Coturnix japonica: one gene and its partner. The protein of the gene in region 2 binds, or shares a complex with, the protein of the main gene of each other region. Links are inferred from orthologs where the notes say so. Each region holds a gene or a part of one and is shown on either strand. Other genes may lie near its edges.

What was found. Proteins that work in one complex are often made in the same cells at the same time.
Region 1: RRN3 (region 2) and POLR2H share a complex: the UniProt entries of both Homo sapiens proteins name them as parts of the pol I pre-initiation complex. The link is inferred for Coturnix japonica from reciprocal best matches to the Homo sapiens genes RRN3 and POLR2H.

Annotation. Positions count from the first base shown.
Region 1 is NC_029524.1:13,962,418-13,967,514, forward strand, and holds POLR2H (DNA-directed RNA polymerases I, II, and III subunit RPABC3), read right to left. Parts: upstream 2,687-5,097; 5' UTR 2,623-2,686; coding exon 2,550-2,622; intron 2,441-2,549; coding exon 2,357-2,440; intron 2,280-2,356; coding exon 2,186-2,279; intron 2,061-2,185; coding exon 1,977-2,060; intron 1,861-1,976; coding exon 1,743-1,860; 3' UTR 1,342-1,742; downstream 1-1,341. Other genes in the region: THPO (thrombopoietin), read left to right, coding at 1-23, 257-436, 518-658. UniProt on the Homo sapiens protein: DNA-dependent RNA polymerase catalyzes the transcription of DNA into RNA using the four ribonucleoside triphosphates as substrates.
Region 2 is NC_029529.1:43,641-49,738, forward strand, and holds the start of RRN3 (RNA polymerase I-specific transcription initiation factor RRN3), read right to left. Parts: upstream 3,691-6,098; 5' UTR 3,633-3,690; coding exon 3,426-3,632; intron 3,037-3,425; coding exon 2,980-3,036; intron 1,873-2,979; coding exon 1,783-1,872; intron 1,698-1,782; coding exon 1,568-1,697; intron 1,101-1,567; coding exon 1,041-1,100; intron 1-1,040. UniProt on the Homo sapiens protein: Required for efficient transcription initiation by RNA polymerase I (Pol I). Required for the formation of the competent pre-initiation complex (PIC).

The DNA of each region.
Region 1 (5,097 bases), on a different chromosome or scaffold from region 2:
TGCGACAGTGGAAAAGCAAATCGGTGAGAGGGGCTGGGAGGATGGTGCTGGGGTGCCCGTGGGACTCGAGGGGGAGCCCCTGGGTAAGCAGAGGGGTATGGTCACCAAGCAAGCTGAACAATAAGCTTGTAGGAACAGCAGCACAGGAGCGTTGTGTGGGGATAAGGTGGAGGATCCATCCGTATCAAGGGTGGGCGTGGGAAGGATGGGCCTGCAGCCCTGTGCCAGTGGGGTCAGCACACACACTGCTCCACAGGATGAGATCAAGTGGCGTGAGATCCTGTGCAACCTGGTGCTGCTGGTGGGTGCTGTGACAGAGGCTCAGGGCCAGGTGAGCCAGGAATGCGGGGCCGGGCAGCTGAGCCAGCTCTATCGACACGCCAACTCCTTCCTCCTGCTCCTACAGACATTCGGCTGGGAGGTGAGACCTCCATGTGTGAGTAAAGACAACTTCAGGGCACGTGTCCGCTGGGCATGATAGCATCTGTAACCCCCCCATCTCACTCTTGCCCCTCAGGAAGGGCCCTGGGAGCCAGGCTGCTCCCCTCGCTCCATTGAGCAGACTGAAGTCACTGAGATCTTCCTCACCTACCGACAGCTGGTGCAGGGCAAGCTGCGCTTCTTCTTCCACAACCTGGCTAAGGACTCGTGTGACTGAGATCGGGGGGAAGCAGGGACCTCCAGTCCAGGGACTGATGAAGCTGTACACGGGATTTAACACTGATAAAAGGTCAGAGCAATCCCACAGGAGAAGGAGCCGTGCTCTGGATGCCCAGGAAGGTGCCACGGGGAAAGGGTTGGCTCCTTTTCCACAAGCCTTTGGCTATCACACGGCCCACAGAGGTCAAAAGCAGCCATACCTGTGCAGCACGAGGCACATGCCCTGCTCCTATCAGACTGTGAATGCTTTACAATTAAAGACCTATTTTTCTAAAGGATTGTTTGTGTCTTCCTGTTCCCCCTGCTGTAGCACTGGCCTAAGGAGCATACACCAGTCTCTGGGGGAGGCAATAGCTGGGGAACAAACGCTCCTGATTTTCCCAGTGTCCAGCTCCCTCCTGTGGTGGCTGCCATCTCTGCAGGGCAGGTGGGCTCAGCTGGGGATGTGAGATAATAATGCCCCTTGCCTTCCAGTATCCACCTGCCAATTTCACTGTGCTGAGCTCTGGGGTCACACAGCATCACTCAGACTAGGCCAAGCCCCTCCAGGAGCTGCAGCTTGAAAGCCAGTGCCCCTGATGTGGTACCTTTGCTGTCTGCTACCACAACATCCTCCATGAGCATCCCATCTTCATCTACCAACCGGCATTCTGGGAAGCCAACCTTGCCACAACAACCACATCTAGAAAACACATAGCAGTTTAATTAAGAAGCCACATCTGTCTCAGAACAGCTCCTTAGAAAATGATGCCCAGCCCTAGCACAGACAGGTGAGTGCCCCAGTCCAGCGGCCCCTGGTTAGAGCTGGGGCTAAGCCTGCTTTTGAAGTGCAGGAAGGTGAGATCAGCAGGCAGGGCCACAGAGCACCCACGGTCTCCACTGAGAATGAGGCATCAGCCCCTGCACAGAAGGGAAACAGTCAGAAAAGACTGGGATGACAAAGGGGGAAAGTCCCCTCCTCCACCACCACTGGAGGGACTGGGCAGCAAAGGTGCTGGGGCAGGATTTGGGGTGATGGTGTCCTTTCTGCTCTCCAACAGAATGTCTCTGGGGGCAGGCAGCCCTCTGAGGTGCATCATCTCCTAGAAGGCCAACTTCTTCATCAGCAGGTAAACTCTGGAGTCCACTTCAAACCCATGCAGATTGTTTGCGTCTCCCTGAAGGCGCATGAGCAGCCCCCCATAGGACACATAAGCAGAGCTGGGGCAGGAGGAGAGGAGCAGTGAGAGCAGGGAAACCCATAGGAGACCCAGTCAAGATAACGCTGCCTCCCCACCACCCTCAGGCAACGCGTCCCCTTCTCAACAGCCACTCACAGGCGTGTGGCTGCCTCTGTGGACGTCTCATCCCCCTCAATCCTGTACACCTTGCCATACATCACGTACTCAAACTGGTCCGCCCTGCAATGACATGAGGGGAGCTGAGAGAAGCGTCAGACCATCCTTCCCACATCCCCTAACAGAGCATCCTCTGCGAGGAGGCCCCTTGTAGGAGGGGTCTCTCCCACCACTGCGAGCCACGTTACCTGGAGGGCCGGTCATCAGTGGGGTTGTACTCCCCATCATCCAACGTCCCATCCTCATACAGGGTGCTGGCAATGACCAGACGGAACTTGTCCCCTGGGAGGCGATAACAAAGCAGCGCTCAGAGCGCACAGCCGGAGCTGCCCCCCCCCCCCTCCCCGCCCGTCCCGTACCGAGATCCACGGGGTAGATCTGGATGTTGACGTCCAGGATCAGATCCATCTTGAACGACTCGCTCTCGCAGTGCAGCCGGGACACTGAGCGGGCCGGGACGGGGCGTCAACGGGAAGGGCCCGCCGCACCCGGCCCGGCCCTCGGAGCCCCGGGTGGGAGGAAGGGGCGGGGAGCGGGGGGGTCGTATCTCACCACGGTCGAACTTCTTCCCCTCGGGGTCGATGTCCTTCACATCGAAGATGTCCTCGAACAGAATGCCGGCCATGGCGGCGCCCCTTCGCTCCCGCGCCGGCTCCCGCTGCGGCGCACGGTGATGACGTGTTTCCACATCCGGAAACCTCATTCGTGGTGGGCGGGCAGAGGTGCCCGCGCGGTCCTAGCGCCGCCGGCAGCGCCCCCTGCAGGCTGGGGGGGCGCACTGCAGCGCAGGGGGCGGTAGGGGGCGCTGCGCGGCCGCGGATCGAACCGCGTGGGTCGGGGCAGATCCACGGCGGGACGGAGCTCGGAGCTGGGCGGGGGGCAGCAGCGTCACCCCACAGCCCACCCGTGTCACACCCCACAGCGTCACCTTCCCTCCGTGTCACATCCCCGGTGACACCCAGCTCCTACCGCCAGCCCCCTCCCCAAAGGGCTCAATGCGGCCGGGCTGTGTGAGCGGAGGGATGCGCTGGTACAGAGGGACACGGAGGGACACGGAGGGACACGGAGGGACCCGGGTTGGCGGCCCCGCACCTCCGGGGTCGAGGAGCCGAGGTTGGGGTGGGCAGCCCCCACACTATAGCACCTGCCCGGTGCCGCCGTCTCCTCCTTATCTGGAGCCAAACAAGCCCATCCGGCACCTGGTGCCGCTCAGAGCACACAGCACCAGCCCTCAGCCCGCCCCCAACCTGCACGGATCCCACAGACCGTCCCCAGGTGCTCTGCAGCCCCCGGTGCGCCGGGATATATGAAGGGATTTTGGGGGGGGGGGGGGCACAGCTCTGCCTTGGTGCACCCCAAAGCATCCCAGCATACAGTAGGACACACCGGGGGTCCCTCCATGTGGGCTCTCCCCAGGCTGGGAGTCCCATTGCTCACAGTGCCGGGCTGTGTGTGGGTGGGGAGGTTTAGCCGTGGGGCTGTTATCTTTCACTGATAAATTATACAACATGAGCACGGCTTTGAACGGCGGCCAGGCCTCCATCCGGTGGGGCAGCATTGGGGGGCCAACACAGCCTCCAGTGCTCTCTGATGGGGGGGATGGTGATGGAGATGGGGCCGTGGCTTTGGAGTGAAGGGCTGATGGGGATGGGGTCTGCACACAGAGGCAGAGCAGGTGGCAGAGCCACGGCGGCACCTGGGTGGTTGGGCAGCCCCAAATCCTGCACCCTAAATCCCTGCCCTCTCCCCAAAGCCTGCCCGGCTCGGGGGTGGGAGCGGTGCTTCAGAGGCGGCCGCGGCCCCTCTTATCTGCGGGCACAAAGGAGCCGCGGCACCGCCGTTATGGAGCAAACAGACCTGGGGAGAAGCTGGCTGGCATCGGGCAATGGGGTGGCACCATCCCCATGTTGCGGTGCTATGGGGTGGCACCATCCCCATGTTGCGGTGCTATGGGGTGCAGCGCTGACATCCCCCCACTGAGCGGCCCCCCTAAGGCTGGGGTTGGGCAGGAAGAGAGCGAGCCAAAATTAAGCTGTTAATGAGTCTGTCTGTCACCAGGCTGCCAATTACCCATGTGGGTAAGGAGGAGATGATGGAGGTGGCACGGAGCAACATCACAGCCCACCCGATCATCCCCTCATTAGCACCGCATCACCCTGAGTGAGGGACAAGGCCCTGGGCAGGGATTAGCCCCTTCCTCTCCCTGCTGAGGACATGATGGGCGATGAAGGAAGGGGAAAAAATGAGCTTTGGGGGGAAAATATGTGATAAGTGGTGGTCCTCTGCCCCTGCAGTGCGGGGCCTGGGGAAAGGCTTGTGCCCCACAGCCCTGTCCCCAAATTCCTGTGTGCTGATGCTGACGTCTGTTTTTCCGTGACACCTCGGCCGGTGCTGCAGGGGGGACAGGGCCATCTTCCTGCAGCTGTCATCACGCTGGGCTGTCCCCGTGATGGCCCTTATCAGCGGGTGGCCCTGGGCTGCAGGCTGCGGCCCCCATTCCCGTGGTGGTGGGGGGCTGAGTGCCCTTTCCTGCTGCCCTCTGTGCCCCGCTTGGAGTCTCGGGGAGCTCTGGGGTGCTGGGTCCCATCGGGTCTCCTCTTCCCCCAAAACTCAGCAATTCTGCTCCCTCCCCCCAGACCCATTGACCAAATCTGGCTGAGCTGGGTTGGGATGAGAGCTGGGGGACTTTGGAGGGCTCCAAATTAGCTTAATGGCTTTGGAAGACAAACAGATTAGAGAGCTGCAGCAGTCAGGACAGGGATCAGCTAAATTGGAAGCAGAGGCAGCACCCCGATCCCTGTGGCCAGCCCCAGCCCACATTCCTACAGCACCCCATCCTGTCCCCATCACCCCCATCCTTTCCTGCAGTGCTGGGTCACAGCAGTCCCTTCTGCCCTGGGTTTTGGCCATGTGTCAGTTGCCTCTGGGTGTTGCTGCGCTTCCCCTTCCTTTTCCCTTCCTGTCCCTTTCCATTTCCCTGTGCCCCTTTTCCCTGCCATGTCCCTTTGTACCACTCCTCCCATGCCATGCAGGAAGCAGGGCTGACATTGCCATAGGGGAAGAGGGGGCAAAGGGGATGCTTGGCATTACAGGTGCAGGG
Region 2 (6,098 bases):
TCTACCTCTTGTGCCACAGGGGGGATTAGAACTCCGAGCCCCAGTGTTGCAAGGTGGCATTCCTACCACTGCACCACCGGGGCACACTATACATTAAAATCAAGTGAGAAACTAGATAAAAATAAAAAATTATGCCTTATTTAGCAAGAGTTAAAACAAGAACACAAATAATTAGGCTTCTTTAACAATAATGAGATGAGCCACCTGAATTCTGGGAAATGTTTTTAAACTGGAAGAGAGCAAGATTTGGACTAGCTATTATTAGGAAGAAATGCTTTACTGTAAGGGTGGAGAGACACTGGAACAGGTTGCCCAGAGAGACTGTGGGTGCCCCCTACCTGGAAGCATTCAAGGCCAAGCTGGATGGAGCTTTGAACAAGCTGGTCAAGAGGGAGGTGTCCCTGCCTACAGCAGGGAGGTTGAAATGAGATGATCTTAAAGGTCCCTCCCAACCCAAACCATTCTGTGATTCTATGATTTTTTTTTCCCCTTGAATCCAAACAGTGCCACAAGCAAACACCAGAGGAATAGGTATGTCAACCCAAGCTGAAATTCAATACAGCATTCAAGATACAAAGATGCAGATAGTTAATTATCCTGTAAGAATTCAATCTGTCTAATCAATAAACACATAGTTTTCATTATTTATATCAATTGTATTTGAGTTTACCACAAGCAGACAACAAAAAGCCTCAAGAATTTCCCAAACAGACCAGTTTTATTGAAGTAAGTAAAATGAAAACAGACAACTCCTCCCTATCCTTTGGCTTTGACACTATCTAGGACTAAGAATGCTCTCCTGAACATTCAGCTTGAATCTTAAAAATACTGCACCAGTAAATACCAGTATTTTGCAAGTAATGAGGATTAACTCATAACACCATTGATTCAAGTATAAAAAAATTCCTGACTTTGTAATTTAAGGATGTACAGCTACTAAAGTTTTATATCAACTCCTGCAAAGTAATTTAGCAAAAATAAACCAACATAGTAAAAGCATTACAAAAGCATTCGTAAGCCATATTTCCTTCCATACTCACTTTCTTCATCATCATCAGAATCTGAAATGTCCACATCATCCTCTCTGATGGTTATTCGAGCTACCAAAAATGAGATCATTATTGGAATACTGTGCAAATTTATGAGGCAACAATTCCAATGCTAAATGGAAGTGCACTGACAACAGTCTTCAGTGTGACTAAAACATCAAAATTATCCACAAGACTTTCTGAAATAACTGTTTCAATCAGAAAACCAGGAGGTTCTTAAGAACATCTCATACGATCACCATTAGAGACTCTTTTTTTCAGTTGTAACATTACACAGTTCTTCCCCCTCCCAAACATCTTAAATAAACAGCCTTTAGAGTTTTAGTTACCCATTAGAATAGATCTTCTGAAGTCTAGGTACATAAAATGGTTTGTACTGCAATCCAGTCATTAAAGTTAAAGTAATCAATAGAAAATATACAATTAGATTGTGATGTATAATTCTGCATACACAACTCATATACAAAATAATTATTTTGAAATAATTAAGAATATTAAGAGGGAAAAAAAAAACTTACAAGGAACAAACTGGGATACAATCATGCTCAAGCATGGCCTAAGATGGACAGTTTGTGCTGACACCAGATTGCCAAGAAAACCCAGATATTCTTCCACTACCTCTCGGCTTCTTCTCAACCATGGCAGCTTCTGAAAGTAAGTAAAGACCAAGGTGTCAAACAGATGTTTTGAGTACTAAACTCTTAACCTTTCCATATAATAAATCAGTATTTACCAGCAAAACGCTGACCAGTTGCTCGAAGTCCTTGGTCAGATATGTGACAGAAGTTCGAAATTCATGCAGCCAGTTAATGATCTGGGCATCCTTAATATAAGCAGGAATAATATACAGGAATAATATATGTATTTTAAAAAAAATAAAATAAAAAAATCACAAATCTATTTTAATAAAAATATGACCAAAAACAATAGAATTTTTTTGAGTAGCAAAACCCACAGAATCACAAGTCAAAGATTAAGACTGTAAATTAAAATTATTTTCATACAAGCACAGAAGAAATTTCTTGAACTAAACTTGCACCCTCACCAATGAAAATTCTTTAACGCAAGAATACACACACACAGGCCGACCAACAGCCTGCATGGGAAGTTTATGTAACAAGCTGAGCAAGGTATGCAAACCTCATTCACAAACAATGTATCTGTTTTACTTAGAATCTTACTTTCCTTTTGGTTTTGCTCTTAGTTTAAGCAGAGGAAAATTCAAGTATTCAAGTAAGAAATATCTGGAAGCAGAACCAATTATACGGAGAAATTTTTACACTAATTTTGCTTGCTCTCCCCACAAGATCTGCTAAAAAAACGTGTATTTTACAGAATACTCTATTTAGAAGGAAAAGAAAATCTAGATAACATTATGCTTCCTGCAGCACCCTTCTAACAACTGTGTGGTTTAACTAAAACACTACAAAAAGGAAAAAAGAAATAGAAAAACACAGTAGCTATCAATAGCTGTAAGGAACAGCCCTGAAATTACTACTTGTAACAACTAGATACATAAGAATCTTAATGCTCAATTAACTAAGTTCTTAGTGAGAGCTGAAAAAGGCAGTAATTCACAACATAAAGGTTCTGACAGTCAGCAGTTGTGGTTTTACCTACATTAAGGAATCTGTAGAGACAGGCACTACTGACCTAGTAAAATGGTGTCTGGAAGAAACATCTCACCAAAAAACAGTTTCTCACTCTAAAGCAAAGTCAGTAAGCATGAGACAACACTTATCAGGATTCTGCACATAAGATCTGCTCATAAACAGACAGTAGCTGCTTTTCATTACTTCTGACAGTTACTATGAAGTAAAAAGCAGTTATACGTTATCCGGCATTTAAAGCAAAGGATTTGCTTTTAAGCACCAAAACAACTTGTGCAGTGACATTTGGACAGCTGAGTGTCCCCATGCCATCACCTTACCTTTATGTCAGGATCTGACAGCTGATGCTTTAGCAGCTCAAAGTCAGTGGTTTCACCCTTCACGGGGAAGAAAAATAAATGATGCTTGTTACGCTTCTAGAAAGGAACTAAAAAACATACATCAAGAAATAAACAACAACAACAAAAAACACCACGTTTCACTGACATATCTCAACAACTGAAAAGCGTTTAATCACAACGCACAGAACGCGAGGGCAAAGCACGTGAGGCAGCGGCGGCAGAACGCGTCCGAGAGGCGGAGCAACCCCTGCAGACATTGGCGTCCCATCCGCTCCACACAAGCCCGGGCTTGTGAGGAGTTTCCGCTCGCACAGCAGAACCACCCGGCACCAGCCCAGAGCCTCGGACAGGGCAGGGCAGCTCAGCTCCAGCTCTCACCAGGACACGTCGCCCACGTGGGCCCCGGTCCCGCGCCACACACTCACCCGTTCGTACTTGAGCAGAATGTCTGTCAGTGTGCCGCCGAACCGCACGGTCTTCTTGGGCGGGGAGCTGATGAACTCGTCCCCCGCGAGCATGGTCACGGCCCCGCGCATGAAGAAAAGCGGAGCCACCTCAGTCCCTGCACCCCCCCGCACTGCGCTACACCTCGTCCCGCGGGCGGCAGCACAGTCAGGCAGCGGCACAGCCATCACCACGCGCCACACCCGGCAGAAAAGAGCGCCAGGCCCCACCGGAAGCGGGGACCGCTCCTCCTCTCGCACCATAGAGAGGCGAGGCTGGAAAGGCAGGAACTGCCCCCGGCGGTGGCAGCGCAGGAGGACCGAGGCGGGCGCTATCCGCTATCCGCGCTCCCCTGCCGGGCGCTGCGCTGTAGAGCTTCCTCGGAAATCTTAACTCCAGATTTGACCTCAGCGCCACGCTGGAGTAGCCATTTTACTGAGAAAACGAACAAAACGCAATTGAATCCTCACGATCCTTGGGATGGAGTCTGCTGAAGGAGGGCTGAGTGCCGTCTGAACAGAAAAGCATGTGAACCTGGGAAGCAAGCACCTGCCAGCACCGAGAGACAGTTAAACCTCATGGAAACTTCATTTTTGCTGTCGTTCTCCAAACGCTCCCAACAAAGCACCGCATCCACATTCCTGTCCCAGTGCAGTAATGGCTTCTCCTCCCCCACCACTGAGCACTGCATGAACAGATGCCGTCCAGTTCCTCAATGCACTCCAAGTGAATATATTTCAGGACATAACCATAATTAAGAAGGAATTTAAAAACATGAAAACGTTCAACAACTTTCACACAACAACTTAGAAAAGTACAAATGAAAACACATTTTCCTATATAATCCTTCAGTAATGTTCAGTGTGCTCCCAACCTTCATCAGTTCAGCCATATACTTCACAGTTCCCTGGCTCACACAGACCAGCTACAGCAACAAAAAGATCTCAGCCCTTCTCCAGCTGTAGCATCTGCTGATCCTCTGGGTTGGCCGCCTCTGTAACAAGTAGCTCCTCCACAACGATTTCCCCCCTGGAGAACCCATTAGTCCCATCAGAGATTGTTAGAAAATTCATTAGTAACTTTCATTTCATTTCTCCCTGTATAAGATGTTCCCATAATAAGCCACATTTACAGCACAGGTGTAAAGAGCCTAACAGCAAGTACTTAACCCTGCAATATGGTTATAAATTAGAGAGATATGTGGTCCTTTGGTAGTCACACAAGGAAGTATCCTTTTGAGCAAGCGTTAAAGCTTAGCCAGCTACAAAAGACTCATGTATAAGCAACACAAAGCTGAAACCCGGTTATAGGAGACCATGGTGTGCCCCGGTGGCGCAAGTGGTAGGAATGCTGCCTTGCAATACTGGAGGCCCTGGGTTCAAATCACCCCTGTGGCGCAAGTGGTAGAAGTGCCGCTCTGCTACACAGAGGCTCGAATCCCGGGGGTTGGACTCGATGATCTCTAAGGTCCCTTCCAACCCGCACGAGACTATGATACTATAGTTGTATTTGAAGGGTGCAGACTGTCCTTTAGGTCTAAAGGAATCAAGCTACAGACATAAAGCTGTGTTCATGCAACCACACACACTCCTACGTGTGTTCAAATTCTTTGCAGTCAACAACGTAAATGCTCCTTGCATGGACTTTGTGCTGCATTGAGCAGCTGACAAGGACACCAGGAAACTAAGATAGTACTAAACACCTGTTAATGATTAGCTACTAACAATTGAGTTGCCAGCTCCTATTTAGTATTAAGCTTCATTATGCAGAATGCAAACAATAGGCTGCATGACAAGTAACTATTTTATATATTAAAAAACAAAATAAAACAAAACCCACCAGCCCATACCATAGCTTATAACAGCTCTGCTCCACAGCAAGCACTTTTTACCTCCTTGTTTAGATACATCATTAGTAACACCATGGTACTCCTCCACGAAGAACACAGTCTTTATTTTTTGATGTGCCAGCTCCTATATTTAAAATTAAATTGTACATACTATTCATAATTGTAAACATTTGAACCTCATATAATTTGAGTGACATGTCAGCAGCCAAATGGCATTCTAACAACCATCCATCACAGTCACTAAGTATCTGATACTGGGTAGAAGATTCATTGTAATTTGCGGTAAACTTAAAGCTGTACTCAATTTACTTTGATAACTATAATTGCAACACTAAATTAGAGAAAACTGTCAGAGCTAGTATGCGAATGGCTGCACACAAGTTTTAGGTTAATTTATAGCTGCTACTCTACTCACCTCAGTTTAACAATTGAAGCTACAGGGAAGTCAGGAAAAATAACTTTTCAGAACATGAAAACATGTTGGTTTCTCTATAACATTTTCAGAGAAATGAAAAATTGTCTTGGAAATGACATTGAAACCATAGTATATAGGTTTTAGGGAGGAGGGCTTTGTTTTTTTTAAATCAGACCACTGTAATAACAGTGGTGTCACATTGCAGATCTCTAAAAGGAGGATACAGCTCTAACTCCTAAATTCTCTGTTTAGTAAAGAGATTATAGATTTTCACGTCTAGTGTCTACATGAACTTATTTAAAGACTAACAGCATTTGGAAAATATTTAAATAAACAGAATACATATAGAAGTGAATCTAATAATTTTCAAGAGAGCATAGAAAGATATCT